Linked DNA regions of Nothobranchius furzeri. The protein of the gene in region 5 purifies or fractionates together with the protein of the main gene of each other region. This does not show direct contact. Links are inferred from orthologs where the notes say so. Each region holds a gene or a part of one and is shown on either strand. Other genes may lie near its edges. The genes, in order: smarca2, stat3, smarcc1a, atf2, cebpb, sp1 and atf3.

Evidence for each region.
Region 1: the proteins of cebpb (region 5) and smarca2 purify together in Homo sapiens (affinity purification with western blotting; 5 studies listed by BioGRID and IntAct, with this or other methods). This does not show direct contact. The link is inferred for Nothobranchius furzeri from reciprocal best matches to the Homo sapiens genes CEBPB and SMARCA2.
Region 2: the proteins of cebpb (region 5) and stat3 purify together in Homo sapiens (affinity purification with western blotting; 3 studies listed by BioGRID, with this or other methods). This does not show direct contact. The link is inferred for Nothobranchius furzeri from reciprocal best matches to the Homo sapiens genes CEBPB and STAT3.
Region 3: the proteins of cebpb (region 5) and smarcc1a purify together in Homo sapiens (affinity purification with western blotting; 3 studies listed by BioGRID, with this or other methods). This does not show direct contact. The link is inferred for Nothobranchius furzeri from reciprocal best matches to the Homo sapiens genes CEBPB and SMARCC1.
Region 4: the proteins of cebpb (region 5) and atf2 purify together in Homo sapiens (affinity purification with western blotting; 3 studies listed by BioGRID and IntAct, with this or other methods). This does not show direct contact. The link is inferred for Nothobranchius furzeri from reciprocal best matches to the Homo sapiens genes CEBPB and ATF2.
Region 6: the proteins of cebpb (region 5) and sp1 purify together in Homo sapiens (affinity purification with western blotting; 4 studies listed by BioGRID, with this or other methods). This does not show direct contact. The link is inferred for Nothobranchius furzeri from reciprocal best matches to the Homo sapiens genes CEBPB and SP1.
Region 7: the proteins of cebpb (region 5) and atf3 purify together in Homo sapiens (affinity purification with western blotting; 3 studies listed by BioGRID and IntAct, with this or other methods). This does not show direct contact. The link is inferred for Nothobranchius furzeri from reciprocal best matches to the Homo sapiens genes CEBPB and ATF3.

What each region holds. Positions count from the first base shown.
Region 1 is NC_091750.1:37,837,749-37,841,716, forward strand, and holds part of smarca2 (probable global transcription activator SNF2L2), read left to right. Parts: intron 1-1,426; coding exon 1,427-1,807; intron 1,808-3,716; coding exon 3,717-3,818; intron 3,819-3,968. UniProt on the Homo sapiens protein: ATPase involved in transcriptional activation and repression of select genes by chromatin remodeling (alteration of DNA-nucleosome topology).
Region 2 is NC_091745.1:6,824,623-6,828,333, reverse strand, and holds the end of stat3 (signal transducer and activator of transcription 3), read left to right. Parts: intron 1-9; coding exon 10-69; intron 70-900; coding exon 901-1,007; intron 1,008-2,046; coding exon 2,047-2,087; 3' UTR 2,088-2,787; downstream 2,788-3,711. UniProt on the Homo sapiens protein: Signal transducer and transcription activator that mediates cellular responses to interleukins, KITLG/SCF, LEP and other growth factors. Once activated, recruits coactivators, such as NCOA1 or MED1, to the promoter region of the target gene.
Region 3 is NC_091745.1:65,006,384-65,010,807, forward strand, and holds the start of smarcc1a (SWI/SNF complex subunit SMARCC1), read left to right. Parts: upstream 1-1,274; 5' UTR 1,275-1,344; coding exon 1,345-1,530; intron 1,531-2,672; coding exon 2,673-2,792; intron 2,793-2,872; coding exon 2,873-2,958; intron 2,959-3,197; coding exon 3,198-3,279; intron 3,280-3,378; coding exon 3,379-3,471; intron 3,472-3,583; coding exon 3,584-3,653; intron 3,654-3,914; coding exon 3,915-3,984; intron 3,985-4,207; coding exon 4,208-4,283; intron 4,284-4,424. Other genes in the region: uncharacterized protein si:ch211-215k15.4, read right to left, coding at 94-164, 399-517. UniProt on the Homo sapiens protein: Involved in transcriptional activation and repression of select genes by chromatin remodeling (alteration of DNA-nucleosome topology).
Region 4 is NC_091754.1:21,239,722-21,244,378, reverse strand, and holds the start of atf2 (cyclic AMP-dependent transcription factor ATF-2), read left to right. Parts: upstream 1-1,697; 5' UTR 1,698-2,317; coding exon 2,318-2,457; exon of another isoform or gene 2,458-2,470; intron 2,471-2,491; exon of another isoform or gene 2,492-2,659; intron 2,660-3,039; coding exon 3,040-3,112; intron 3,113-4,657. Other genes in the region: atp5mc3a (ATP synthase membrane subunit c locus 3a), read left to right, coding at 566-640, 906-1,096, 1,181-1,295. UniProt on the Homo sapiens protein: Transcriptional activator which regulates the transcription of various genes, including those involved in anti-apoptosis, cell growth, and DNA damage response.
Region 5 is NC_091755.1:52,069,569-52,072,962, forward strand, and holds cebpb (CCAAT/enhancer-binding protein beta), read right to left. Parts: upstream 1,834-3,394; 5' UTR 1,670-1,833; coding exon 794-1,669; 3' UTR 562-793; downstream 1-561. UniProt on the Homo sapiens protein: Important transcription factor regulating the expression of genes involved in immune and inflammatory responses. Also plays a significant role in adipogenesis, as well as in the gluconeogenic pathway, liver regeneration, and hematopoiesis.
Region 6 is NC_091743.1:62,035,421-62,039,906, forward strand, and holds the start of sp1 (transcription factor Sp1), read left to right. Parts: upstream 1-1,409; 5' UTR 1,410-1,492; coding exon 1,493-1,499; exon of another isoform or gene 1,500-1,554; intron 1,555-2,018; coding exon 2,019-2,095; intron 2,096-3,496; coding exon 3,497-4,486. UniProt on the Homo sapiens protein: Transcription factor that can activate or repress transcription in response to physiological and pathological stimuli.
Region 7 is NC_091742.1:15,053,255-15,057,919, reverse strand, and holds atf3 (cyclic AMP-dependent transcription factor ATF-3), read left to right. Parts: upstream 1-1,712; 5' UTR 1,713-1,816; intron 1,817-2,497; 5' UTR 2,498-2,498; coding exon 2,499-2,744; intron 2,745-2,832; coding exon 2,833-2,940; intron 2,941-3,024; coding exon 3,025-3,324; 3' UTR 3,325-4,001; downstream 4,002-4,665.

The DNA.
Region 1 (3,968 bases), on a different chromosome or scaffold from region 5:
TTCCCGGTACCTACGAATCGATACCGGTACTTAACGGTACCAATTTTCGATACTTTTGAGTGTTTATTATTTTAATTCTCTTTTATAATTAAATATCTATTTTTCTCAATATATAACAATATTTGATAAATATCACGATAAATAACATACAACTGTTTGTATTTTAACATCGTCCTTGTAGTTTTATAAGCTGATAATTAAACTGAAGCAAACATCTTTACTGTGAACTAAATTTACTGTGTATCTTCATTCCTTTTGCCGTCTTTTTTTCATTTGATTTTTCCTACTGGGAAGCTAGAATTTCCGAGGAGAAAGCGAACGCACCATTAGCTGATAACAACGGTGGCAATGGAAGCTAACATATCAAGCTAACGTTATCTTAAACAGTTTATTTAGCTGCTGGAGCAGATTAAAACGACGATGCCTCACACTTAGATCGTTGTCACTGGTTTCATCTTCACCCAATCACCCGTCGCATTTAGTAAAGTGAAGCCAAATTTTAGAGCGCGTTCATGTTCTTCTAGTCAAGAATTCGGAGTTCCGAGGAGAAAGCGAACGCACCATTAGTGGAACGGAAGCTAACATATCAAGCTAACGTTATCTTAAACATTTTATTTACCTACCGGAGCAGATTAAGATGAGGATGTCTCACTTAGATCGTTGTCGCTGGTTTCATCATCACCCAGTTACCCATCACATTTAGTGAAGTGGACCCAAGCTTTAGCGTGCGTTCTTTCTACCATGCTGCTGTTTACAACTGGCTCGCAGCGACCGACGACATAACGCTCTTGCGCATGTGCAGCTGTCTAGGCAAGTTCTCGTTATGAAGGACGGGTACCGAAACGAGGCACCGTTTCAAATGACGTGAATCGGTGCTCGGTCGGTACTATGGAATTCGGTCGGTACCTTAAAAAGTACCGAATTCGGTACCCATCCCTACGTCTTCCTGAATCAGTCTTTTCTGAATTCACCTAAAATGTTCTGGTGTTGATTCATTTACAGAGCCCCCCCCGGAGACGGAGACCGCTCCAGCAGCACCTCCAGCTCCCGTTCTCGGGCTCTCCTGTGTTTAATTCTTAAACCTAAAACAGGAGACAGACTCCAGAACCCTCCTGTCAGTGCTTCTCCTCAGGAACGTCCACACGACGCTCACCTCGGCTGAGACGGATGACCGTTCAGACTTTAGTCGCTTTCAAAAACATCAGATTTGTGTCAAAATCAGTACCACATAACCAAGTGACACGGATCGCATTTGAAAAAATCGGATCTGTGCGTTCAGACTGTCACGAAAAAACCAGATGTGGGGAAAAAAAGCGGGTTTGATGAGCTTTTGTCTGCAGTGTGAACGTAGCCTAAGTGAGTGAGCTGGTGTTTCTGGGCAGGAGTGTAAACGTTAAACATTAAACATGCATCCTTCTGGGTTTAGGATACATGTCTCCACATCCTTCCCCGATGGGAATCCACGAGCACGCTTCTAGTCCCATGTCAGGAAGCGGAGGTGGACCCACACCACCCCACATGCCTCCCTCCCAGTCTGCACCTATGATGTCCTTGGATCCTCAGGCCGGCATGCCCAGCATGTCTGCTATGGGACAACAAGGACGAGGACCTTCTGCCTTCAGTCCCGTGCAGCTTCAGCAGCTCAGAGCTCAGATTCTCGCCTACAAGATTCTGGCCCGGGGACAACCGCTGCCAGATAACCTCCAGCTGGCTGTTCAAGGCAAAAGGAGCCTACCCACAATGCAACAGCAACAGCCGCAGCAGCAGCAGCAGCAGGCTCCTGGTGGCAGCCTGTACAGACCTCCAGGTAGTCAGCCCTCCTCACTTTACCACCTAAATCTGAAATCTAGCACTTTTTGATTTGCGCTAAATGACCATTTGGTGTAATTTTGGTCAGAAAACTATGATGGCGGCTCAGACTGGACCAAACAGACAGCCATTGTGTTGTTATGAAACTGCTGCGTAACTTTATTCAATTCAATTCAAAGCTTTATTTATAAAGCGCCGTCCCTGTCGGGGAGGCCAAGGCGCTGTACGCAGTACATAAGAACTGTAAGTCACAATGAATGAATGCATAATAAAAGGGGGTCAAATAGTGCAAAGAGGGTCAAACATTCAAGTAGAAACAGTAAAAACAGGGAAACGAAATCAACATAGAAGAGGGCCGACTAGGGCTGCTCGATTATGGCAAAAATAATAATCACGATTATTTAGGACGATTTTTCAATTTATGTTGATTTTATTTGTTTTTATTCAGTCATAAAATTTCTCAGGGCGCAATCAGGACAAAAATAAGAAACAAATGATCACTAAAATAACTCCTGAATATAAAAAGACCAATATACTTATAGCTCATAGTTTATGACCTAAGGGCTATAGACCTTGGTTTAACTCATTTAGGTCTAACCAGTACAGAACCAAATACCATTATCTTGCAAATACTGACAGCAAGAATTATACAGTGGCATTCATAACAAATAAACACAAATAAATTGATGTTCACAAAATGTTGCATAACATGTATTGAGTCATGTCAAGGTGCTGTAGGAGAGTGCACTAGCACCGTGTCCTCAGAGAGATTAGTTATTAATTATCAGCGTGAGGAACTTATTTCTACCTTATTTATAAACTATTTATTTACAAGTCATCCATCAGTTAATGTAATAATTGTCTCAACCACAGCTGCACCCCACAACCCAGTCTCTCAGCAATCGGGGCAAGCTGCACGTGCGTTTAGCGCACCACACGCTCACATTTAGCTGTTTTTAGTGGCTCAGGAGTCCGCAGGTGCGGTGTGTGTCACTCACTCTGGTTAATCTAACAAGGAGCCGACTCCGAGAGCTGTCTTTAGTGACTGACCCATCACTACATCATTCCCTTTCCTAATGTCCTGAAGAACGGTCCGGAGCGCAGGCGGAGTGTTTAGCTAACCTGCAGGAAATGTCGACGACAGTTATCCAGAAAGTAGCTAAGGGTTACCAGAGATGTTTCTGAGGTGTTCGCTAGGTACTTTTAAGTTAAAAAGTCAAGAAGGGGGTCTGAAAAGCTGCTAGAAATAGCGTCAAAGTCACTGTTGGCAACACTGTGGGAGGAGCGCTTCATTTGCAACTCAGGGCATCGCAAGCGGGAGGAGCAAATAATCGGCTTGTTTTGTTTTTTATAATCGTTCAAAACTCAGATCGTAATCGTGATTAAAATTCGATTAATTGAGCAGCCCTAGGGCCGACCTCAAACACGTTCAGGGAACGCCAAGCAGAAGAGCTGGGTTTTCAGGCCACCGCAGAGAGGGGGACAGCCTAACTGAGGGTGGCAGCTGGTTCCAGAGTGACGGGGCTAGGACTGAGAAAGCCCGGTTCCCACGAGTCCGACACCTAGAACGAGGGACAGCGAGCAGGCCGTGGTCAGAGGAGCGTGTGACGGGGAATGTCTGTTCAGGAGCGTGGCTAGATTGGGGGGGGGGGGGGGGGGGGGGGGCACCACCCTGGAAGAAACTGAAAACAAAGACGAGGTGTTTGAAGCGAGAACGATAGCAGACCGGAAGCCAGCACAGGGAGGCCAGAACCGGACTGATGCGGTCCCGTTTCCTGGTCCAGATTTCTAAGGCAAAGTGAGACGTGTTGTTTTCTAAAACACGTTTAATTACATGGATGTAAAAGAATGTTTACAGATCAGAGAAAAGCCGTTAAACCACCTCTGACTGCTTATTTCATTGACAGGCATGCCAATGGCACCTTTGGGTGGTCCTCAGTCCAGCCCCCTTCCAGCACCACCCATGCAAGGCCTCAGTCAGAGTAGCGGACCCAAACCGTGGAGCGACGGTAAGACCGCTGGGATTCCTTCACTGTTTATAGAAGCATCAAAGTTTTCAGGTGATTTTCATCTCTCGGGGCTCGGCGACGTGGCGCCGCAGGCTTTATAGGTCCAGGAGGAAAGCAACGAGGAGGTTTAAGCTAAGATCATTTAGGCGC
Region 2 (3,711 bases), on a different chromosome or scaffold from region 5:
TCTCCGTAGGTGTCCCTCCGTGTTCATGGACTTGCCAGACAGTGAGCCGCTTGGGAGCGGATTCCTTGGGTAGGCCCCTTTGGGGTGGGGGGTTGGTGCCATGTAGGGCCGTGTGTGCATTCTGTCACTTGTATGTTTTTTTAGACCTCACGGTGCATTTACTGCATCTACATCACCTTAGTTTTCTGTGTCCAGTTCACAGCCACTGCTCCCATTTCTAATTCAAAAGCACATTCCAGTCATCCATCAGGTTTCTGTTTATGCTCCTGCTGCCCACATGTTTTGTCATCATCCTCCGCTTAGAGCCACGTGCATCTGTTGAGCAGCACAAACGACTTCTGAAGGGAGGCGACTGAGGATTTTAGATAATAAAGTTAGCTTTGAAAATCCTTCAGTCCAATATGTCTGTATGAACATCGACTGGAGAAAAGTCTATGCAGAAGTAGAGAGAACAAAATCAAGGAATTGTGTTTTGCAAGCTGGAAGAAAAGGTTGCTAAATGACCCGTCGATGCACTCTGCCGTGGCTCTGGCTGGAGCGAAGCCCCCATTAACATCCATTCAGTGTGCTGTTCAGTAGTCACAGAGCATCTTAAACACGGTGCCGCCGCCATTTATCCGTAAGATTTTTAACAAACCTTGAATTTATCTGCATGTAACAACAGACTGAAACCACCTTCCATTTGTTAACACTTCCCTATAAATGAAGAATGACTAATTTACTCACAAAACCATCCAACTGTGTGTTGGAGCAGGACCAAGACCACTTGTGTTACACTGGAATGACCATAGTTAAACTGAAAGTGCTGGTCTAACGTGGCAGGACGTGTTTGTCGTGAACACTTTGCTTTGCAGCGTTATGCATTTTGTCCTTTTGTTTGTTTTCTGTGTGTATTCACAGCACGAACTCTGGAAACACGAGTGACCTGTTCCTCATGTCACCGCGCACCCTGGACTCGCTCGACTCCCTGATGCCCAGTGAAGCTGAAGCCAACCAAGGACATCTGGGTGAGTCACTAACTGGGAACACGCAAGCTTATTTTTACTCCTGAAGCCGTCTTTGGTCTTACCACAACTAAAAGCCTCACCTAAAGTAAAAAAAAAGCATCTTTGAATTAGGGCTGTGCGATATTAGAATTATGTGTGATAAGTCATTAATACTGCGATGACGATACGGCTTTCAATAAATAAATATTTAATTTAAGAACAAAAAATAAAAAACAAATTAAAAATTGTAAGAAAATTTCATTCAAAAAAAGCAAAAATTGTGATCAAAAGATGTGAGGAAAGGGAAAAAGAGCAAGAAAAGGTACTCCTGGGAAAGGCAGAAAGAGCAGAACAAAGCTAACTCAGGTGTTTTAATTAAATGCTGTCCACCTAGGGGCGGGCATCTAACCTAAAGAACACACCCGATTGGCCAAATGGGTGAAGAGCTTTATTTGATTTGCCAAAATCTTCATGCTTCCGTTTGACAAAACGCATCATGTGTAGCTAACATTTGAGCTGACCATTCATTGCGTTCTTTCCAGTTCTTTGCGACATGCCGATATCACGATGACGATACATTTGTGCATCCTACTATAGCCTCTTTTATAAGACAGACCATCGCGTCGTTACAGAGTGATAAATCCGAATTTGTGGGTCTCGTGAATGCGGCAAGGAGCAAAGGGGAAAGGTGATAAAGCTCGATTCTGATGCGCTTTGCCTCGTAGTAATATTGCCGCACAAGCCCCTCGTCTCTGATGGCTAAACACGTGTCAGCCCCGTTAATCCCTTTGGAGCGACTGAGGGAGCGCCCCAACCACCACCACCACCCTGCCGCAAAAGACGGGGGGGGAATAAAGGGAGGCAGCGACCTCCCTTTCCGTCTTGGCTGGAGAGGTGCCTGATGGCAGTTTATTCTAGCTTCAGCTTTGCTGCTATACATGCCAAAATCCTCCCCAGGGAGCCGCGGCGAGTCCCGTTTTGCAAACGCTATGGTCCTGTAAACAGCTTTTGAATTTTAACTCTATATGCCTCAATAATAATTTCCTTGTTTTTATCCTAGATTCCCTCACTTTGAACATGGATGTAGCCTCTCCAATGTGAAGACAAAACTTCCACCATTTCTGTCCACTTGTTGGGATCTGAGCGGCTCGTTTATTCCTGTCTTCACACGGTCTCTCTGTACAGTTTCTTTTGTTTCTGTGTAAATTTACCAAACAACAAACAGCAGTTGTCTCTAGAGTTTGACTCACTTTGTGCCCTAACTATCTTTCTTCCTTTTCTTTTTAACAACTCTTATCATATATGCAATAAAGTTTTATTTTTTTGAGAATAAACTGTGTGTGTAATTGACAATAAATGGTTATGTGATTTTATTATTATTATTATTATTTTTTTGAAAAAGTAAATGGTGTTTTTTGTATAAGCTATGTGCTGCTTGAGAGAGGCTGATTTCTGTTTTACAGAACGTCCCTGCCAAATGAATAACATCACAGTAGGAAAACTCTGTTGGTTGAATTTAAACATGTTTCTGGTTTTAGTTTACACAGAATGGGTTTTTAAACTTCATCCAGTAAAAGGAGATGGGAGTAGAAGTATTTCTGGTAATTGGGTCATTTTTTTCCCCCGTCAGCTCTCTTTCTTCCTGTTTTACGCCTTTGTTACTGTAAATGTGTGGTTTTTCACTTGTAAATTGCAACAAGGTCATGTGAGTGAGACTGGCTTTTGAAACAGACCTTTTGATGTTTGTTTTGCCTGTTTTTAACTCGTATGATCAGATATAAAAATGTCAAATATCAAATTATTTATGGTTTGTCGGACTTCCTTTTTCCACCTTCGGAATGTTGCTAAGATTAGAAGCATCCTTTCCAGGAGTGATGCTGAAAAACTAGTTCATGCATTTATTACATCCAGACTGGATTACTGTAATTCATTACTCTCAGGAAGTCCACAGAATGTAGTTAAAAGTCTTCAGCTTGTCCAAAATGCTGCAGCTAGAGTTCTGATGAGAATTAAAAAGAGAGATCATATCTCTCCTGTCTTAGCTTCCCTACATTGGCTGCCTGTTAAATTCAGAATAGATTTTAAGATCCTCCTTCTCACATATAAAGCTCTTAATAATCAAGCTCGATCATACATCAGTGACCTGATTGTTCCATACGTTCCTAACCGAGCACTTCGCTCTCAGACTGCAGGTTTACTGGTGGTTCCCAGAATATCTAAAATTAGGATGGGAGGCAGATCTTTTAGTTATCAGGCTCCTCTCCTGTGGAACCAACTCCCAGCTTTAGTCCGTAATATTTATAGTCTGTAATATTTTTCTTTACATTTCATACTTAAGTGAACCATGTCAGTGAAATAAAATGCCATGAAAATGTTTTTTGTGTCTCAATGACAGCTTTTTTATTCTCTTTTAAAAGCCTTTGGTGATTGTGGATGGGGACTAGGAAAGAGCTGAACAAAACATGAGGGAAGCTATATTTAGACTTAAATGAAAACAAGGACAACTTACGGTTGGCATAACATCCCATTGACAAGCTGAGGACGAGTAGCAACAATAAAACACCCCTTAACAGGAAATTCATGGGTGACGCAATTGTTTAGAAGGAAACCAGCAACAACACAGAAACTCTAGGCTTAAGAGAAACTATACTAAATAAAACAGGTAAATTCTGGACGTTTTGCCAAGGTAAAATGGAGAAATCTACTGTGCAATCGCCAGAAGTGC
Region 3 (4,424 bases), on a different chromosome or scaffold from region 5:
TGTGCAAACCTCTTTAGATATTTAACGACATCCCATCTAAAGCGCATTACTGTCAAAGTGTCACTAGCAATGAAATATTGAAATCAGCCTTACCATATGCATAAGCAGAGCACAATGGAAAGCAGAGCAGCAGCAACTGCAACATTACAGTGGATCCCATGATGCTGGTTAAAACATACAAGGTAAAAAAATAAGTTTGCAAGGTTAAAGAGAGTTCAAAGCAAATTGCTAGAATTATGACCTATAAACGTGCTTAGCACTTTAGTGAGAAAATAAATGAACTACAAAAAGAGGAGGAAGCAATCTTTTATATAAGGGAAACGTGGGAGTGAGAAATAACACTGACAGGAAATACAGAAAAACTTTCGGAAGCCATGACCAAATAAGTGATCTCTTACCACACTCTCGACAGCAGAAGAACAATCAGAGCTCTAACAACTATTATGGACCATGCAACAATCAGAGCTCTAACAACTATTATGGACCATGCCACACACACCTTTATCTGCTCCTCCATCAATCAGAGGGGGTGGAGCACCAGCAGGTGCCACTGGGATTCCAATCAGTTTATTACTGACTTCGGGGGAGACAGGAGAGGAGTGCCGGTCCACACTCCAGACCTATAGGTGGCGATGATGCACCACATGTTGTTTATGGCCATTGAACCTCAGAGAACAAACTTATTACGTCATGGTTTCCTTCTGTAATATAAAAAATAGATTTGTATAAAATACATTTCTTAATTAGGCTTGGCTTGAACATACCCATGTCACTTTAGCAAGATTATCTTACCTTTTATCCATGCTACTGAATGTCCTATTTTAGTTATTAAAATGAAGAGTAAAATAGAAGATTGTGATGGGATTCTGTTTCTTTACCCAGTCATTCAAAATAACACCCAACCAAATATTCAAGCAAAACATGATGTGCACATAAAGCCCAACAGAAGGAAACATACTGAGAAGTGTATTGCTGCCATCTGGTGGCAACATGTTGACGACATAACTGAAGTTTCACAATAATACCATAAAATGTTCTTTTGTCTGTAGAGCTCCATTAATGTCATTAAGTAAATACTCTATTAAGTAAAAATAAAAGGAATATAGTGTTTAAAAGTAGATAAGAAGCCTGCAGACATGGCAGATTTGTCTAATCAGCTCCTTACTTTTTGTGTTAATTCCTATAACCCTGCCACGTGAATCTGGGGGGGGGGGGGGTACGCCTACATTTCCCATGAGCGTCACATAAACCTCGTGATCACTTTGCGGCTGCGCAGTATCATTTGAAAACTTGCACGGCGAGGGATGCCGTTGAGGAGAAAGACAACGCAGTGAGCTACACACAATGGCGACGGCGGCGACTTCTGCGGGCGGAACGGGTTCAAGCGGACCAGCCACAGGCCTGGTCGGTGGAGGAACCGCGGTAGGACGAAAGAAAGACGGCGGTCCTTCCACGAAATTTTGGGAAAGTTCCGAGACGGTGTCCCAGCTCGAGACGGTGCGGCTTTGGATCGGGAAGCACTACAAGAAGGTGGGTTAACGCTGCTGTGTTCCTCATTGATTTCTATAAAGGCCCGCGTCTCGCTGGCACAATAGAGCGCTGATATGTTTATAACCTTCATGTACACTAAGCTAACTTTAGCTGTAGTTGTTCTGGTTGACTCATGTTTATAATCTCGCTCAAGAGAGTGCAGACAGTCTCCTTTTAGACACGATTAAATGCAAACGTACTATGATAGCTGGAGTGAAGTTGCTTTTCTGTTAGCCTGCCATCAGCTAGCTCGCTAGCCGCTCAGTCAGCTAAACACAACAAATTAGTTCTAATAAGGTACTGAATGTCGAACTGTTGATACGTTATTGTAGTAAAAACGCACATGTGAAATTATGTTGTGTGCTAAAAATATATACGACCCACTCATTCGGTGTAAAGGCCTAAGAAACTAACGAAAATGTCACGGTGCACCGTGTGTGTACGATTCACATAAACATAACACACCATTCATTCTGTTTTACGTTATATTTAGGTCTCAGAAAGTCACAAGATAATTGTGTTTGTTGCATTTTGTGTAAAAGAGTCCTCATTGTGTTGTTTTGTCAACACACTCATCAGGCAGACAGCCTCTGGCTTCTCTCGCCCAGCAAAACAAAGAGTGTATCTATTCAAACCCACCATCACGCCCATGGAGGCGCATTTAAAAACAACGCAAAAGTTCAACTGAACAGCAAACTTGATGGAGTCTAGATTCTGTTTTAAGTTTGCTTGTTTGCAGTTTTTGTGTTGGAATCATGTTTTTCTTACCGTGTCTTTGACTTAAAAAACGTAGGTACTTAGATTAATAAGGATTTCTGTGATTGCATGTAAATATTTTCATGTCACACCAGAACACATTATTTATAGGACTTAGTAAAGTTAAAACAACAACAAGTCGCCCAGCTGAAGATTTATTTGTTAAATGAGCAGCAAGGTTGTGGTTAATAGTGTTTAAAATATCAGATATTGCGAAATTAGACCTATTCCCATGACCATGCATGTATTTGTTACTGTGCAGACTTCTGTGTGTCACCAAAGTTTTGTAGCTGCTTGTAATATATATGTGTTCATTTTCAGATGCTTTCCTGTTTCTTTGTCAGTGATGCATGTAAATGATTCAATGATTATGGTTTTTTTTTCAGTATGTTCAGAATGACTCCCCCTCCAGCAAATCACTGGGAGGCTTGGTGGTGCAGCTGCTGCAGTTCCAAGAGGATGCATTTGGACGGAGGGTCAACAATCCAGCTCTTACCAAGCTACCTGTAAGCACACCTTCTTTGCAGAACCAAAAGCTATCATAATGTCTGTGTCTTGAATCTCTTTGTTTATCTTCTCTCTTCAGGCCAAGTGTTTCCTGGACTTTAAGGCTGGAGGGGCTCTCTGTCACATCTTGGGCTCGGTTTATAAGTTTAAAAGTGAACAGGGCTGGTGAGTGGATTTATTTTTAACTTCAAAACTGGTATGACCCAAACTTAACCTCTTTGATTGTTTTGAACCAGTGGTTTAGCAGAATTTAACTCTTTGGTTACACCAGTACCACGAACTGAACATCTTGTAAAATGTGACAAAATTCATACTGCATGAAATCAAAAGGATATTCAACTTTTAGTCAGTTGTGTGTTCGTCTTAAAACTAATTTGGTTTTGCTTTATGAACTCTACTCTTAGGCGAAGATTTGATTTGCAGAATCCCTCAAGGATGGACAGAAATGTGGAGATGTTCTTAAATGTTGAGAAGAACCTGGTTCAGGTATGAGCATCCCAGTCTGAACACAGACTTTTTGTCTTCTATATATTTGACCTCTGCATGGGTAACGTCTGGTTTTATCGATGGTTTGTGTTTTTGTAGAATAACTGCTTGACGCGACCTCTGGTCTACCTGTCTTCGGAAATAGAGCAAAAACAAGCGAGTAAGCTCAAAGACATCGTCAAAAGGCACCAGGTGAGTTCACTTCAAACCAGGAAATAAAAACAGTTTATTTTTTTATGTATTTTTATTATGACTAGCATGAACGTCTTTGTCTTTTCAATTATCTAACTTTGTTTCTCTTCAGGGCTCCACCACCGAGGATAAGTCAAAGGCCACCCACCACATTTATCCTTCTCTTCAGCAGCAGGAAGAAGGTTGGTTTATAACTTTTGTGACTTTGTGCATACATTTTATGATGTATGTTTGAACTTGGGTGTTATTGTTCCTTGCTGATCTGACTCATTTATAGTGTGATCTCTATCCCATCAAACACATCTAGATCAGAATAAAGATCATTTAGCTCCGTTTATGGAGGCTTTATTTAGCTGATCTTCTTGAAAATGGGAATTTTTTGTCACAGCACGGATAAAATCTTCGCTAATTGCTGAAGTTGTGCTGGGGGTTGTGTTTTTCAGAAGAGTGGCTACGTCCTGTGATGAGGAAAGACAAGCAGGTGCTTGTTCACTGGGGCTTTTCCCCTGACAGGTAATCAGAAAGGATCACAGAGAGACTCGGACATGCTTTTCTTTATTGTGGATATGTTTTTACTCTGCAGGAGTATTTCTCTAAAGTTATTCAGTTTCTATTTTTATTAGTAATTTAAAAAACACTAAATCTAATGTCAGAGACATTTTTGCCAAGTTTTTTGTTTTGAAATCACCCAGATTAACCACCTTACTGATCCTGTGTCTGTTATGTATTTTACCAGCTACGACACCTGGGTGGCAGCTGGTGAGGTGGACGGAGACGTTGAAGACCCTCCCAGTGCTGACCGACCCTGGAAGGTGGAGCACCCTCTACCAAAATGATCTGTTTAGCACTGAAGATTTCATAAATAGACACACAAGCGTAAAACTAGCCTGGCTGCTCAGAAAACTTTTTTTTCTGGAAAAAACATGTAAATCTAGATATTGGTATTAACCCTT
Region 4 (4,657 bases), on a different chromosome or scaffold from region 5:
GGTTGAACTTGACTATAGCCTAGCAAGGGTACTTGCAGAGTAGGCCTGCAAGTTAGCCTGTAGCTAATGCTAAAGGACTAAATTAACCAGGTCAAACACATTGATGAGCTGATTTTGTGGTTTGCAGACAGTGTTTCTGCTGATTGAGTGAAATGCCGCAGTGGCACAGTTTCACGTTATAGCAGACATCTACAATGTTATTAGCTAAGGTCATTGAAACGCAGTGTTAGCCGATAGCTCACACAGCTTACTTCTTATTGACATAATGGGATGCACAAACTCACTTTCTCCGTTTGGACATTGTTCAAAATGTTCAAAATCTGCTGTCCAGTGTTGACTGCTTCCAAGGTCATGTTAACCAGTGGCAGACATAAGAGTATGAGACCCTGCAATCAGCATGCGGCCCATCTATCAATATTGTGCAATTTCTGACTAATTTACACAGTTTTCTATGTCGGTGTGTGCTTAAAGTGTTCTTGAGTGGCACTTAAAATACACACCCTTCTATGTGAAGCTTGATCCAAGCAATGCTAAGTGTTTAATCTTGTGTCCATTGTTAATGCAGGTCCGTGCTGGTTCCCGGGCTCTTTACAGACCCCTGTCAGCTTCTGTGCTGTCCAGGCCTGAAGCTAAAACAGAGGTATGAAAGCATGTTTTCCACACCCTCATTATTTTTTTTGAAACCACAGCATTGCAATTGAAGTTTATATTTTATCGGCACTGTGTCTGAAGCCCTAATGGACAGGGTTTTAACTAGAAAGCCTTAGTAACTTGTAATAACTTTGTCTGAGGACTAGCTCTTATGTATTCAAAGATTTAGTTTCTAATTGTCACATTTGGTTCTTGTGATGTTAAAGTTTTTATTCTTCTTTTTTTTTTTTTTTTTTTTTTTTTTTTTGCTGCAGAGCTCTGTTTCTGTGATGCCACCAAGTCCCCTCACTCAGGTCACACTGAGAGGCTTCCAGACCAGCGCCATCAGCAGGGACATTGACACTGCTGCCAAGTTCATTGGTGCTGGAGCTGCCACGGTTGGAGTCGCTGGGTCCGGTGCTGGAATTGGGACTGTGTTCGGTAGTCTCATCATTGGTTATGCCAGGTTTGTTTGAATTATTTCAAATATTTATTGTTAAAACAATTTTACAATTTCTGTTTGGATTCACCAACAATTTCTTGTTCTCAGGAACCCATCACTGAAGCAGCAGCTCTTCTCCTATGCCATCCTGGGATTTGCCCTGTCTGAAGCTATGGGACTCTTCTGTTTGATGGTTGCTTTCCTTATCCTGTTTGCTATGTAAAACTGCCCCACAACACTTTAATTACAGATGTGACTACATATTTTATTGTGGCTACCAAAATTGTTCCTTGTTGGTGTCATAGAAATGTACATTTTTCAAGTCTCTCAGACACTGTCAAAAACAGCAAAACATGTATTGTACAAATGTAACATCTTACGTGAATAAAATACATGTTTTTGACTATTCAAGATTGCAGAAGCTTGTGTCCAAAACATCACCCAACACAACAGGAAGGGGTTGACTTTCATGAATGTCATCTTTTCAGTGAATCAGCCTTGTTTTCTGAGCTTTTTGGGGTCCACGTGAATTATTTTGTCATTAAGCTGCAGTTAAATAGGTGTGTAATTGTGCAGCAAGTGAGATCTAACGGCATGGTAATGGCACTGAATAAATCCAAATGATTTACTTGTGTTAAATGTTTGTTTTTTTTCCCCACAGGAAGAATTAAGTAATTGGCCAATACTTTAAATGAAAGCTTTGGCTGTCAGATCTTTTAAATTTTATCATTGTATGCAAAACTTAAAGGCTTCCTTTCATTTTTTTGACAGAATAGAATTATGTTGGGTTAAAGATGAGTGGCACATGAATATTTTAAATTGACCTTTAGACAGGTGCAATTTAAACACTGACTTCAAAAGAATCACTTTAAAGAATGTCTGCCTTTATTCTTCAAACAGATCTGTCTGCAGCTGGTAAGTTGATGACTGCCTGGTACAGAATCACAAGGGATCTCAAGTGGGTGGATTGCCTAGCAATCATTGCTACAAACAAATTGAAGCGTTTCTGTAACATTAAATACATCTAAATTGTAAGAGCTTATACATCACTCCTAGCATTTGATTTTTTTAAAGTTTACATTTGTGTGAAGAAGGCAGTCTGCTTGAATATGCAAATTATGTGTGCTAAGCGCTTTAAGACTATATTAGTTTTTGTTTTCCTCTAAAAACAATTGAGTTACGTTATGTTAGAATAGTTTATAACATTGGTCCGTAATTTATTTTCTCATACTTTTTTTGACTCCAATGAATTATCCCCAATCGTTTGTGGATGTGGCATTTAACGAATATCTGTTATCGCGATACTTGGGGAAAAAAACGTGGGATTTTGGAAATCAAGGGTTGTGGCTAAGGGGTAGGTGTCAACTCAAACCGCTAGCGACTGTGTACGAATCTTTGGTAAATATACCTAATTTGTGGCAATGTGAGCTGTTTCTGTTTGGTGTAACAAAACAGGAGCCGAAATAGTAGTTGACAGCTCTTTTGTTTACAGCGTTACGTGCGTGTTCAAATATGGCGACGGTTATGTTAACGCAAGGCTCAGGCTAATTCATGGAAGCGACTGGATTGTAGCTCATCCTTTTAGCTGTAAATATATTCTTTAGTTGTTTTGTGATATATGTAAAAATAGACATGCGGTTCTCTTAAAACATATCTCCGTGCTTTGTCTGGAGCAGTGTATCTAAACGTTTTTTATAAGAGCACCGAGGTGTAAACAACTACAGAAACCGCCCCTTATCGATGGTCTTTGTCCAAAACGTTCACCTGACCCCAGCTGGAGTTTTAACTTTTATCATAACTAAACCAGCATGTGTTTACATATTATCATCTCTGAATCGGAGTAGAAATATTTATTATAGGAAGAGTTGCTCTGCATCTTCATAGATCATCAGTTCATTAAAAAAAAATATATATATATATATATAATGCAGATGTTCAGGTTAAAAGTGTTTTTTGTATTATTTTAGGGAGAAGTTACAGGAACTCCTTAATATGAGTGATGACAAACCCTTCCAATGCACTGCTCCTGGGTGTGGACAGGTAAGCAATCCGATTTTGAGAACTTCTTTGAAATTAAACTGATAAAAGACTCTTTGAAGCATCATTGTTCAAGGTTATTTCGCAAAATATGACTTAAGTTTGATGTAAGAGTTTTATCTAATTGATTCATGACTCAATGCATAAAAGCTTTACCAAAACACTTGTCAAAAAAAAAAAACTTCCATTCTTATATCCTCAAAATCTGACAAAATTGTTAAAATGATCGTGGGCACTGAAATAGCCATCACAGCAGTATATGTATGATCATTTGAACATGCAGCCATGTTGTTAGGTTTATATTAAACTTATAGCTTTTTGTCGTTCATCAGAGGGTGAATTTTGAGAGCAGGTGTGTGTGGTTGTGTGTATCTCCAGAAGCTATTTCTTTTACTAAAGAAATGTTAAAGTGAAATGTGAACATCAGTTTGTTTACATGGAAAACATACCCTCATAACCCAAACAATAGTGTGAATAGAATATATAGTAAAATAACTCTGGTAATAGTCATGTGTAACATCATCACCTATAACCTTTTATTTTTACCCATGTGTGATTGCAGAATGGAGTGTATGCAGACAAATTTCATTTTTTAAATAATAATCATTCAATTTCCATTCATTCTTAATTAAAATGTAATCCAAACAAGCTGATCTGAGTGCCCCAGTAACATATAATACAAATAAATAATTTCACTTAAATTAGGAACATTTCACTTGCTGCAGCCCCAAACGCACATTCCTTCTGCTCCACGTAAACCTGAACTGGTCACCTGCAGCTTGTGCGTAATCCAATATCTGCATGATGCTTGCTGAAGAGGTTATGAGGTTCTGGACGTTTGCCTCAGACTCGTGGCTGTTTAAATGTTGTTCTGGATTAATCCTCACTATGCTGACACACTTGAAGCGGGTGCTGAATAACGAGCACTACTTAAGCCACAGTTTTAAAATGAGGAAACATTTCTCCAAATAAAATAACCAGAAGTCTACCTGACTATGAAAGATAGAAGGGCTTCCACTTGACAGTGCGCTCTTGCGCACAATGTCGAGTGCGTCACAGACGCTCTCCCAGCTCCTCTTCAGCGTGCCGCTTGCGGACACTGTCAGCAGCGAGAGGCGGAGAAGGTGAAAGATAATGCTCAGATGTTTTGTTGATGGAGATCTTTTCTTTTTTTTATCTCCGCGATGTTCTCTGTGCGTAACGTGTAAAATATCTGTCATTAACAAACTTACGCTTGGTCAAACAAATAAATGAACAAATTGCTTCTTATAAAAACAACCATAACAGCTCAGCCCGTCGCCGATGGTCGAATAATTCATCCCATCGCTGAACCCTAATGGTCGGCAAATTGAAAAATCTAATTGCTAGCCTTTATATGAGCTACAGTGACGGAGTAAACGCTAACTGCCGTAAAGCAAGTAGAGAGCTCCACCTAGTGAACCTACTCATGCCACTAAACTTTTAAGTGCTTTTCCTGGTCAGCTGAGGGCTGCAGAGTTCTGTATAATGTGAAGTTCCTAAAGTTTCTGCCTTAAAAACCACTGAAAC
Region 5 (3,394 bases):
TTAAGTGTGTGAGTTGATCAGGCAACTTTAATGCACAATCTCAATAAAAAATTTTTTTAATGAGTGATGTTTTGTGTGGGCCCATGTGACTATTTTCTAAATTAGCTGTTCCAAAGAGAAAAATCTCATGGTGCTTTGTTTGATTTCACCATAGCCTGACATTTAAATGTGCACATTCTGCTTATCATCGAGGTGATTTCTTATCTGCAGTGTGTCGTAACCCCAAAACATGGTATTACACAGTCTATGATGACGGTGAACGATGCACGATCCATGGTGAAAGGGACAAAAAAAGAAGAAAAGGGAAGTGAAATAGTTTAAACAAAGTATAAATCTCTTTAATTCAATAAAATATCAAGAACAATTAAAGCATTTCACCTTTTAATATTAAATAATTAGACTATTTCATTCATTGCCAATACTATTACAAAGAGTTGCATCATTTCACTGCAGCACAACTCTTCCCCTGACAGCCATTGCTGCAGATACAGTGTACACAAAATGTAGAAATTCACTGGTAATGTAAAACCTGCACAGAAATACTGCATACACTAAAATTACATCTGAGAATAAAGCTATGAGGACAAGTGAAAAGTCGCGTAATGGTTGCGCAATCCATGCAGCCACTTGTTCAGTCTCATTCAAAGTGTCCATGTAAACTGGCGGTCTGTTTACAGAGTACCGTTTTCAGCACAGTGGGTCGCCTCTTGCGCCGTTAAGTCTGTCAGGCAAGCAGCGCGGGGATCCGGGGGGAGATCCGTGCGGTATCCCCGGGGGATGGAGGTGGGGAGTTCTAACATTGTCCGGTGGCGGAGAGCAGGTTGCGCAGGGTGGCCAGCTCTCTGGACAGCTGCTCCACGCGTTTCTGTAGACGATCGTTCTCCGCAGCCAGTTCCAGCACTTTGTGTTGCGTCTCCAAGTTGCGCATCTTGGCTTTGTCCCTGCTCTTCCTCACTGCCAGGTTGTTCCTCTCCCTCCTCAGCCGGTACTCTTCACTGTCCTTGTCCAGGCGCTTCTTCGCCTTCCCGCCAGACGACTTTCCACCGTGCGACGGTGACCTGCTTTTACCTGACGGGGCAGGTGTGCCAGGCGGGCTGGAGCAGGTCGAGGACGCAGTGGAGATGTTTCCAATACTTCCGCTGGTGGATTGGTAATGAAGGTAGGACCTCATGTCAAACCCAGATGACCCGTTCTCCATCTTTGCGTCTTCCGGACTGTCTTCTCTCTCGGTGGAAGCGGCGGCTCGGTAACGGCTGGCCACCAGATCCGGGCTGAGAACGCTGTCCACACGGGTCTCCTGCAGCTCGGGGTAACCCAGCGCGTACGGATCCCTGGGCTCCCTCGCACCCTCGCACTGGCTCGCCTCCAGCTCGCTCAGCAGCGAGTAATTCTTATAGTTCTGGAAAGCTGCGAGTCTTTTGATCTTGTTCTCCCCGAGGAAATCAGAGAAGGCGTCCCCCTGCTGCTGCGTGTGCGCCGCCAGCTGCGGGCAGTGCAAAGCGGAGTCCAGGTAAACGCTGAAGTCTATGGCTCTCTCCCGCTCCCCCAGACCCAGCTCCGTCATCGAGTCGCCCAGCCTCCAGTAAGAGCCTCCGCCTATGGGTCCGATGAAGCCGTCTCTACCGTGGATAGCAAAGCTGCCCTCCTCGTACAAGCCGGCCACTTCCATGGATCTCAACACCCGCTGGAGTGCAGGAGCACGTCGGGCTGAGGTGGGACGCCCTGGCTGGTTCTGGTTTTCCTGCCTCAGTTGTGAAATGCGTCGGAATGCAGAGAGTTTAAACCTCCTCGGTCACTACCCGTAGAAACACGCAGCTCCTACTACGCGGGAGCTCTTGGATTGGGAGGAATTGACAGATCTTCCTGTCTCAGGAGGGGTTTTATTAGGGGTGGGGGCGGGGCTTAACTTGGCAGGTGTGTCACGCAGAGCAGAACCGACCTGTACCGTGCGGAGAAGATTCTTTCCCGTCCGCATGCTATTTAAAGTATTTTGTCACGATGAAACAAACAAACAAACAAACAAAACAAAACAACAACAATAAAACACCGAACAACAAAATAAAACTTGCTTTAGTTTTTATGTACGTGCGCACCAGATGAAGGCTATAATAAAATTCTAGCAGCAGAACAAAAAGGAGAAAAGCAGCTTTGGCTGATGAATGGGAGCTGATATCAGAAGTCAAATAAAAAGTAAAAAATAAAATTCCAGTTTACACCGTCATGCAAGCGCGCCCCCTGCTGCACGCGTCTGGAAAAAAACCCAACGTGTTTATCTTTTTAAAGTTTATAGTAACAACATCACTGATGTTCAAAGCAGCCACAGACTCATTTCATTTAGAAATCTGGTGCCCCACAACTTCCAGCATATATACGTGCCAATTAAAGTGCAGTGGACCTCCTCATGATGCATGTCTAAATCTGTACAAAGGCCAGGGTGGGCGTCAGAGGAAGCCAGTCTGTCTGGTTTAAGGCGAAAGACTTATATGTGCCCTAGAAGATGTCTGTGATTGCTTTGTGGGTCTTGAAAAATCTGCTGCCTCGACAAAAAATGAGATCTGACACAAGCTCTCCTCAAGTCCTTAATTCTGGCTGCAGTAGAAGCTAGAATCTGATAAACTTGATAAAACTCAACGAAAGACTTTTGTTTACAAAATCACCAATGCAACAATTACTAAGTATTAACATTTTAAATATGTGTAAAAATCCAGATATGTAAATCTATATATAAGTTCACTGCTCAACAATAATAAAAGGAACACTTAAACAACACGATGTAACTCCAGTGACAGTGACTGAGAAGCAGTTTCACTGCTGTTGTGCAAACAGAAAAGACAACAGGTGGAATTTATAGGCAAACAAAAAACGAATGGTTCTGCAGGTGGTGACCACAGACTACTTCTCAGTTCCTCTGCTTTCTGGATGATGGATGATGTTTTGGTCACTTTTGAATGCTTTCACTCTAGTAGTAGCATGAGATGGAGTCTGCAACCCACACAAGTGTCTCAGGTAGTGCAGCTCATCCAGGATGGTACAACAATGCGAGCTGTGGCAAGAAAGTTTACTGAGTCTGTCAGCGTAGTGTCCAGAGCATGGAGGTGGCTCCAGGGAGGGCAACAACCCAGCAGCAGGACCACTACCTCCACCTTTGTGTAAGGAGGAACAGGAGAAGCACTGCCAGAGCCCTGCAGAATGACCTCTGGTCAGAAACAGACTCCATGAGAGCGGTACAAAGGCCCAACATCCACAGGCAGGGGTTGTACTTACAGCCCAACACCGTGCAGGATGTTTGACATCAGAGAACACTAAGATTGGCATATTTACAACTGGCGCCCTGTGCCCTTCACATATGAAAGCAGGTTCCCACTGAGCACATGTGACAGACAGGACCGTGTCT
Region 6 (4,486 bases), on a different chromosome or scaffold from region 5:
TATAACAACAAGAAAATATTTGTATAAGCATCTACTATACCAGATAAATGCTTTGACATGCTTTTGTTCAAATAAGCAGAACTTAATGTTAAGGCTCTGCGGCACGAGGTCCATGATTGCTGTCAGGGTGGCACTGGCACACCTTGGACACCTTCCACTAGCACTGCCCCGGTTATATCCTGTTTATTTGATATTTCCTGATTTTAGCACATTTTTTGTGCTAACTTTTTACCCAACAGCATTTCTTTAGAGTACTTGTGAAGTGATAACATAGATAAATCCTGTGATAAGCATAGAAACCAGAAGGCACTTAATTGTTCTACATAACAGGATTAAACATAGCAATTTGAACACAATATTGAACCTGACTAAATCAATCAAATTCAATTGTGTGTGTGTGTGTGTGTGTGTGTGTGTGTGTGTGTAAACAGACAGGCCAGGGTGGTATGGATGTATGGACTCCACCCTCTGACATGTTTATACATGGACACATGTGCTATTTCAATGACAGCCCCTAGCAGAGATAAAAGCCCTCCCAGTCCAACCATCTTCCACTCCCAGCCCAGCATAGTAGCCAGTGTGGTGAGTGTTATGAGGGTTCTTCTCCACCCTTTCTGACTCCTCCCGCCACATTACTGTTTACCGACTCACAAAGCCACAAGGGAGTGGCCAACGGCCACGGAGGCAAGACTCAAGCACTCGTTCAGCCCTCCTTACTTCCCACCTCTGTGGCCAGAGACATTAACAACGTTTGGCGTTGTTTCACTGTTGAAATTTGACTCCACTTCAAGACGGGGCTAAGCGAATTATCAGTATTTACGTGGACTAAACTATAGTGACGTCGTTTTAGCGGAAAACAAATAACCCGACGTCAATCATGCTCAAGAGCACAACCTACCGTGCTTAATCCCGCCCACCCCTCCAACTATGGTGAAATTAGATTAGTCAACTGGTGCTCTTTAGGCGAGACAAACAATTCTATTGGACAATGGATTATTCCATCACCCGTATTGCTGATTGAGGAGCGCTTGTTTTTTTTTCGGCACAGTACGGTACGCGTACTACCAAACGAAAAAGAAAAAAAAAATCTTAAATATTCCGAGTTTAAATCGGTTTGAATTGAATTATTTACAGCATGTGTGGCGGTACTCACTCTACCGTTTCATTTCTGCCTTGTAACTTGTACATGTCTATGATAAGTTCAGGAGTCGGTTTTACTTTGATTTAAGCGCCAAGAAAACCCAGCATTCTTTCAAAATGTCATCTACTGGCTCACTTAAGTTTCACAAATTATATTTTTATAATCTCTAGTTAAAAAGTAGTCTAACTTGAAATAGGTTTGAGAAGTTCATTGCACCATCTCGAATCTAGTTTACATAAATCGAACGCACTCATACGCCTACTTCAAAGGGAGGGGGAACTTAAGTTTGTGTGAAGTTGTGAAAAGTTGTCAAGCTGAAAAAAGAGCAGAAACTCCTCCCGTCTTCTAATTATGAGCAGTAAGTGGACTTTTAAAACTTGGAGGCATACTACGTGCGTACTTATAACTCAAGGGTATGACGTAGCAACATCGTGTTATTTGTATTAAGTGGTGGATTTTGCGCTGCATTGTTGTCTAGTCTGAAGCAGTTTTAAAGTGACGTTAGTTTATTGTTACTTAACGCTACTTGTTAGTGGTTCTTTAGAAAACGACGCTGTCCCCTCTTTAGAATTGTAGGTTATGGTATTCCTCAAACAAAAAATAGCGGTAATGTTTTATCAGAACGGTGGAAACTGCGTTGGTGCACTTAATTAATGCTTAACTAGTTTATTGTTTATTACTTGTGCTGAGTTCACGTTAGCTCACAAGCTAACTGGCCTTGTGAGGGCTTGAAATGTTTTCCAACCCGAATCTTCCACAAAGCATTCTTAAGTTGACTTGTTGTGAAACATGTAGTCGTTTTTCTTTGTTTGATTTTTGTTTTCGTGTATAACTGATCTATTATGTTCCAAGAAGTCTTACAAGTGTTCTTCCGCAGATCAGCAGCAGCAGGGTGAAATGGCCGCTGTGGAGAGCGGCGGAGGATTCAGCCAGAAGCGAAACACAAACTCACAAGTAAGTTAACCACTTAGCGACATTTCGTTCTCATCGTGTGTGCCACTTGTTGAATTTGTTGTGTTCGTCTGTGCGTGTGTGTCTGGACCTGAGCGGGTTGTTGATTTTCTCACCAGAGCACATGTCATCGGGGTGGGAACTGGGCAGGTAAATTTCGCCCACACGGGGTGTTCCCATCTAACCCGGGCACTTCTTGTATGTTTCGCTCGGCCCATTTGGCTCTCCTTGGAGGGGGTGGCTAGTGAAGTGTGCTAGTTTATAGGGCGAAAATCAAGTGTGGGAGGGAGATGGGTGGGCTTGGGGGGAGGGGAAGCCGAGCCCGCCGCTGCTCCGGAAAATGTGGTCCCTCCCTCCCATGTCCCCTCACCCAATGCGTTTTCTCTGTGAAGCCCACTCCCCTACAAGCGCTTCAATGAAACTCGCTAGACTTAAACGCAGTGATATTATGGTTTTCACTAAACAAGCTAGATTTCTTTTAGAATAAGGAACCTAATTTGTTTTAACTTGAAACATCATGCCTTTCTTCCTATTTTTTAACAGGTCCAATATACAATATGCTAGAACATGTGATCCCCTTGCACGGTTTAAGATATAATTTATGTTCCACTTTATTTGTGTTGCTGTAAACATCTTGTTTATAATAATTAGGGTTGCTTTTATTGTTCTCCAGTTTGAATATGCGTGGACAAAAGAGTTCATGGGGCTTTGGGGGATGTGATTTTACATGAGTAGTTTTATTCATTCATTTATAAAGCACCTTCATGCTGCCAATCAAGGCAAAACACAAAATTGCATGACGCACATAAAAAGGTAAAAGTAGAGAATGGAAAAGTAAGTAAATCAAATACAAACATAAAACCAGTACAAAGGAAACCTAAAATTTAAAGCACACTAAACGGTAATAATATACAGTTACAAAAATAAGCCACTAACAGACGGAAAATGAAAAGTGATACAAAAACCATCCAGCTTTGAAGCATTACAAGGAGGGAACATGTTTAATCTCCAGAGTTCAAAAGTCTATAGAAAAAAAAACAAGAGAAGGCATGGTCACCCCCCAGTCTAAATCCTCGAGACTACTAAGAGACTGGGATCGGCTGAGCGACGAGATCTTGGCAGAACATGTTTAGAAAGCAAGGCTGATGTGTATGCTGGAGCCATCCCAGCAAAGGCCAAACATTGTAGAAAAAGCTAAAGAGTATCACAGTAACTGTCAAAATTGGTTTGAAATATGAAATTCATCCATTTTGTTCAGGAAAGTCTGCTAAAAACTTGTGCAGCAACAAATGTTCACATCAGAATTTCTGGCACTCAATTGTCTCTATAGATGTAAGATAGCATGCTCTGTTATTATTGTCTGTTTACATTTTCCTGTTTGATCTTCATTTATACTGATTATAGGACTCACAGCAGCCGTCTCCTTTGGCCTTGCTGGCAGCCACGTGCAGTCGAATCGACACCCCCGGAGAAAACGATTCTACCGCAGACCAACAGCTGGAAATAAACCCGGGTGTCTTCACCTCCAGTGCCAACGGCTGGCAGGTCGTTCCTCTAAGCGTTCAGGCATCCTCCGGCTCTAACACAATCACCACTGATTCCTCAGGGGTGATGACAGGAGACAATGGCAAAAGCAGACAGGTGCTGTCACCATCAAGTACTCAGGGTCAGCAGCCACAGCAGTATGTAGTAGCTCAGGCCCCATCTGTGCCAGGTCAGCAGGTTCTAACCACCATATCAGGTGTGATGCCCAATATACAGTACCAAGTAATACCCCAATTTCAGACAGTAGATGGCCAACCGCTGCACTTTGCACATGCTCAACAGGAACCTGCTGCAGCAGGACAAGGACAACAGTTTCAGATAGTGTCCTCTCCAAATGGCCAGCAGATTATTGCTGCATCCAATAGAGCTGGTGCAGCTGGAAACATCATAACCATGCCCAGTGTCCTTCAGGGAGCCATCCCCATTCAGAACATCTTAGGCAATGGTGTTTTACAAAATCAGCCCCAGTTTCTGGCAAACATGCCAGTATCCTTGAATGGAAACATCACTTTGGTGCCTGTCAGTACAGGTTCTACTGGAGGGGATGCAAATGGTAGTGGAGAAACGGGTGGGAACCAGCACGTACAGCAATCTCCACAGCCAGCATCTTCTAATAGTGGGACCAGTTACATGACCAGCGAATCCACCATCACCACTCAAACCTCTTCTTATGGAATTGCCACACAGAAGAGTAACGGATCAGGGAGCAGAACGTTCCAGCAAAACCCAGCCTCCTCTCTTGGTGTCCCAATTCAGCCAGACAACAGAGCAGAGCAGCAGCCTCAACAAATCCTCATTCAGTCTCCTCAGGTTATTCAAAGTGGAGCACCTCTTCAGACCATACAAGCC
Region 7 (4,665 bases), on a different chromosome or scaffold from region 5:
ATTATTCACACATTTATCGTGTTTACAGCTGGGTGTTTTTGCACCATGAAAGCCTTGTTTTGTGTCCCAGCTCAGAATTCCTTGGAACCTGTGGAGGGTGTTTGGATGAGGAGGATCCATGCTGATCAGGTTTCATGTCGGGTTTCCTGTTGCAGAATTCCAAACACCCTAAAGAAATCTTTTCTAGAGAAGCTGTCAGAAAGTGAAAGTTATTCTTTTTGAATTATTTACCAGCAGCTGAAACTGGAAGTTTCTTTATTACTGGGAAAGTTTCAGCAGGAAGGGAGGGAGGGGCGATTGAGGAGCTGGCGAGAAGTGATGAAACGGGTCACAGAAAAGTTTCACTTTGATGTATTTGTAATATATAATGTTATATTATTATTATTATATTGTTATTACAATATAATAAACACAAGACAATTACTAAAATAATAAAACAATGTTGATCACATGACTGACGTCCAGTCCCTAGAGCAGCAGCCCTCTACAACTGGGCCGAGGCTCGGTACCGGTCCATTAAATATTTTTAAAAATTCCAGAAATATTAGTTTATATGCAGTTGTCCACAGGAGCTTTTATTTTGAAAATTAGCAGTATTAAGCCTCCAAATATCCCAGATTTTAATTCCGTTTAATTTTATTTTTCGTAGTTATTTTTGAGATCCTTATAAATCTTTTACAGGAAATGTTCTCTTAAAATAACCAAAATAAATGGTCTGTAAATAAGGTTAAGAGATCCAGAGATAAACATTTAGAAGTTTTTTCCAAATATAAACATATTTTGTACAATCAGACCAGATCTGTGAGGTTTTTCAGGAAGTGATCCGACTTAAATCCCTTTAATCCTGCCGGTAAAACAACGCAACCTGTGGTCTAACGGAGCAATTTTCCCTGTAAGGCAATGGGTTTCCATGTTATTTGCCTGCTGCTTAATGGTTTTATTAAAGGTTTCAATGAAAAAAGCATTTCAACCAGGATCAAACATTTAAAGTTTCAAAATAAAAGCACAAACAGCATCATGGCCATTATTCCCTGAATCATTTCGAACTTCACTGTTTTCAGGTGACCTCTGACCTTTGGAATCTCTCAACGGGCGACTAAACAGGATCAGATTAGTTAGAATTAAGCTACAAAAACACACACACACACACACACACACACACACACACACACACACACACACACAGCTGAGACACACAAAAAAACTTATCTATAAGCTGATCCTTCTTCCTCCCACCATTAGCTTCTCCAGGCCCTGATGGAGGTGTAACCTCAATAAATAAAACCCATCCGGTGTCATTCAGCCAGAGCGAATCACTTCACGTCCTAATGTGGAATGTTGGGATTGGGAAACTGTGTCTGTGTCAGATCAGTGAGAGCACTCGGGAAGACACGGCGCTCAGAACTTTTAATCATCTGTGATTTCTGCTGCTTTCTAGGAACTTACTCAGAGGAAGTGTGTGTGTGTGGGGGGGGGTGGGGGGTGGGGGGGGGGGTGTTTGGTCTAAAGGAAGGATGGAGAGATGAACTGAAGGAGAGGAAGAGGAGGAGGGGTTGTGTTGTAGCAGATCAGCCCGTGGTTGCCTGGTTGCATCATCACACAATCACATTTATAAATAGAATTACGTCATCCAGCTCAGAGCTGCTCCTCTTGGCTCCTCCCGCCACGTCACAGGCCCCGCCCCCAGCCCGGATCATAAAAGCCGGTGATGCAACCGATTCGGGTCAAACGCAACTCAGAGCAGCGGCGACGAGCGAGGCTCCTGCAGGCGTTCACTTCCTCAACCCGTCCGGACCGTCCGATCCAGAACCAACAGGTAGGCGGGGGGTTCCGGAGGGAGGGGGTGTTTCGGGGGAACGGGGATGTCCCGGTGAGGAGCGGAGCGCTTCCCGGTGGGCTGAATGAAACCATCAGGATTTGATTTATTTAAGAAATAAACGGAAGTTTTTATTGATTCAACTTATTAGATTTGAACTTTGACCGAACTTGTTTGAACTTTTAAAGTTGATTCAAACAGTTTATAGTAAACAAAACGCATAAAATGACTTTAAGATGTTATAATGCAGATTAACTGTAAACGTGAGCCGTTTTCTTATGAAGATGAAATAATTCCTTGATGTAATGGTTCAGATTTAAGTGTTGAGAAAAACACAAAAGAGTCGAACTTAATAAATAAATAGAGCTGCACGTGCAGCTTTCACGATGTTGCTCCTGCTGAGATTCAAACCTGATCATAAATCCTTCTGCTGTGTTTGGGTCAACGGTAACTCCTGCTTTATTCTATTAAGTTCAGGGCTCCTCTAGGTTAGATGTTTGGCTGTCAGCAGAGCTGTTCAGGAACAGCTGATCTTCTCATTAGTTGAGTTTGTTCCTGAGGAGTTACTCAGCCGAAAGAGAGCAGGAGCTGCTCCTTCAGCAGCTTTAGGAGCTTCTTGGATTATTTGATGTGAAACTTGTTGCATATTTGATTTAGTCATTGTTTTTTATTTTTAATTAGAATGATGCTGCAGCATCCTGGTCCTTCTCTGGCCGACATCAGCTGCTCTGCTCTGGTGCCCTGCCTGTCCCCACCGGGGACGCTCACCCTGGACGACTTCACTAATTTCACACCCATCGTGAAGGAGGAGCTGCGCCTGGCCATCCAGACCAAGCGTCTGTCCAACGGGCTGAGCGCCGACGTCAGCTCAGACGGCTCCAGCTCGGACCGGGCCTACGAGCGGCCCTCCGCCAGGCTCAAGAGAGAGGTGAGACGGAGCGAACTCTGAGGTTACCTGGTCTGTTTGTCAGACGGGGATCAGGAGAAGTAACGGCGTCTGTCTCTTTGGCTTTTAGTTGACTCATGACGAACACGAGAGGAGGAAGAGGAGGAGAGAAAGAAACAAGATTGCTGCAGCAAAGTGTCGCAACAAGAAGAAAGAGAAGACGGAAGGTCTGCAGAAGGTAAGAGACTTTTGTTCCCTTTCACTCTGAAACCCAGCTCATGAAGAACAACATTAACTCCTCCATTGTCCCTGTCCTCCTCAGGAGTCGGAGAAGCTGGAGAGTGTCAACGCGGATCTTAAAGCTCAGATCGAGGAGCTGAAGCAGCAGAAGCAGCAGCTGGTCTACATGCTGAACCTGCACCGGCCCACCTGCATCGTCCGGGCCCAGAACGGCCAAACGCCCGAAGACGAGAGGAAGCTTTTCATCCAGCACATCCAGGAGAGCACCTTACAGCTCCACAGCCTCACCTCCTCCTCCTCCACCTCCTCCTCGTTATCTACCGCCACAGTAGCACCTCTGGACGGAGGCGTCCTGACGCTTGACGACATCCAGTGTCTATGATGGTGATGCTGTGAGACTTTCTCCACCTGCGCCAAGAACGAGGAGACGTGGATCAGCTGCTGGAAGCAGCGTACAAAGCCACGTCTCCGTCCTTCACCTCCCAGCTGCTGGGACGTCCTGGACAGAGGACAGACGCCGACGCACTGAAACCAAACAAAAACCCAAACTTCACTGATGTTTTCAATAGTTAGTGGTTTGATTTTTGTCCCGGGGTGATTTTAAGGTGACTGATGCACACAAACCGTTCTGTGGAAAGAAGAGTAGCTGCAGGCCGGTTGAGTTTAACCTGCTGTAGAAAACCTATTTATTAAGGTAGGATGTGATGTTAGCGACCCTCTGAAGCTGCTGCTGCTAACCCCTCAGGACACAGACGTAGATGTTTAACTAACGGGAGTGTTTCTAGTAATAACGGGAATGATTCCGTGCTGCAGCCATGGCTGCAGCCTGTAAACATGACAGGATAATCGTATATGCAGATGATGAACTTCTGTTCTGTTCTCCTGCAGGACTGATTGTATTATTAATCCATCATTTTATATCTGTGTTGAAAAGAAGCTAAAGTGTTATTTCTACTTAATTCTGTTCCCTTTTTGAGCTTCTCAGACCAAAACCGCAATTATTAGTTAAATAAGCATATTTATTAAACATCACATTAAATGTCTCTGCTGAGTCTGTGATCCTGCGCCGTCTCATTTGTCCTTTTGGGGGTTTGGATGGGATTTGTTGTGTTTAGCAGGTTTCTGCTGATGAGGATGGTTTATGTTGTCTGTAGTTTGTGATTTTAGCCAAAGGCCACTTTGTTAAAGAGACGCAGGCGTCTGGTCGTGGTGTGTGTGTCGTTTAGCATCCTGATGCTCGTTAGACACCTCATTTGTGCTTTATTGTGCCTGATTTTGTCACTGAAAGTTGTTTTTGTAGCTGCTCCCAGCCTAAATGAATAAAATGTCAAATATCAGGAACAACTGCACTGCTGCTGCGCACTTCCTGTTGTCACCTGTTGAGCTTTGTTTTTGATACTTTTGATAATTAAAACATGTATTGTCAGTCACACTGTATGGTTTGACTTTTTCTCTTAAAATGGAATGCAGCCAGTACAGAATTCATTAAAAAAGTAAAATAGCACAAAAGGCTAGTTTTAATCTGCATGTGAAACCTGGCGTAGCACCAACAACCTTTCTGTGGTTTTGTTTGTGATGGAAACAAAAGGTCACACTGAAGGAAACGTTTAGTCTAAGTCTCTAAAACGAGTGATCAGCTGTGGCTGCTGCTGTACAAGTGCAGCTGAGAAGTTGCATCATCCCGCATAAATGATGAGACACATTCCTGATAAATGAGTCGGCT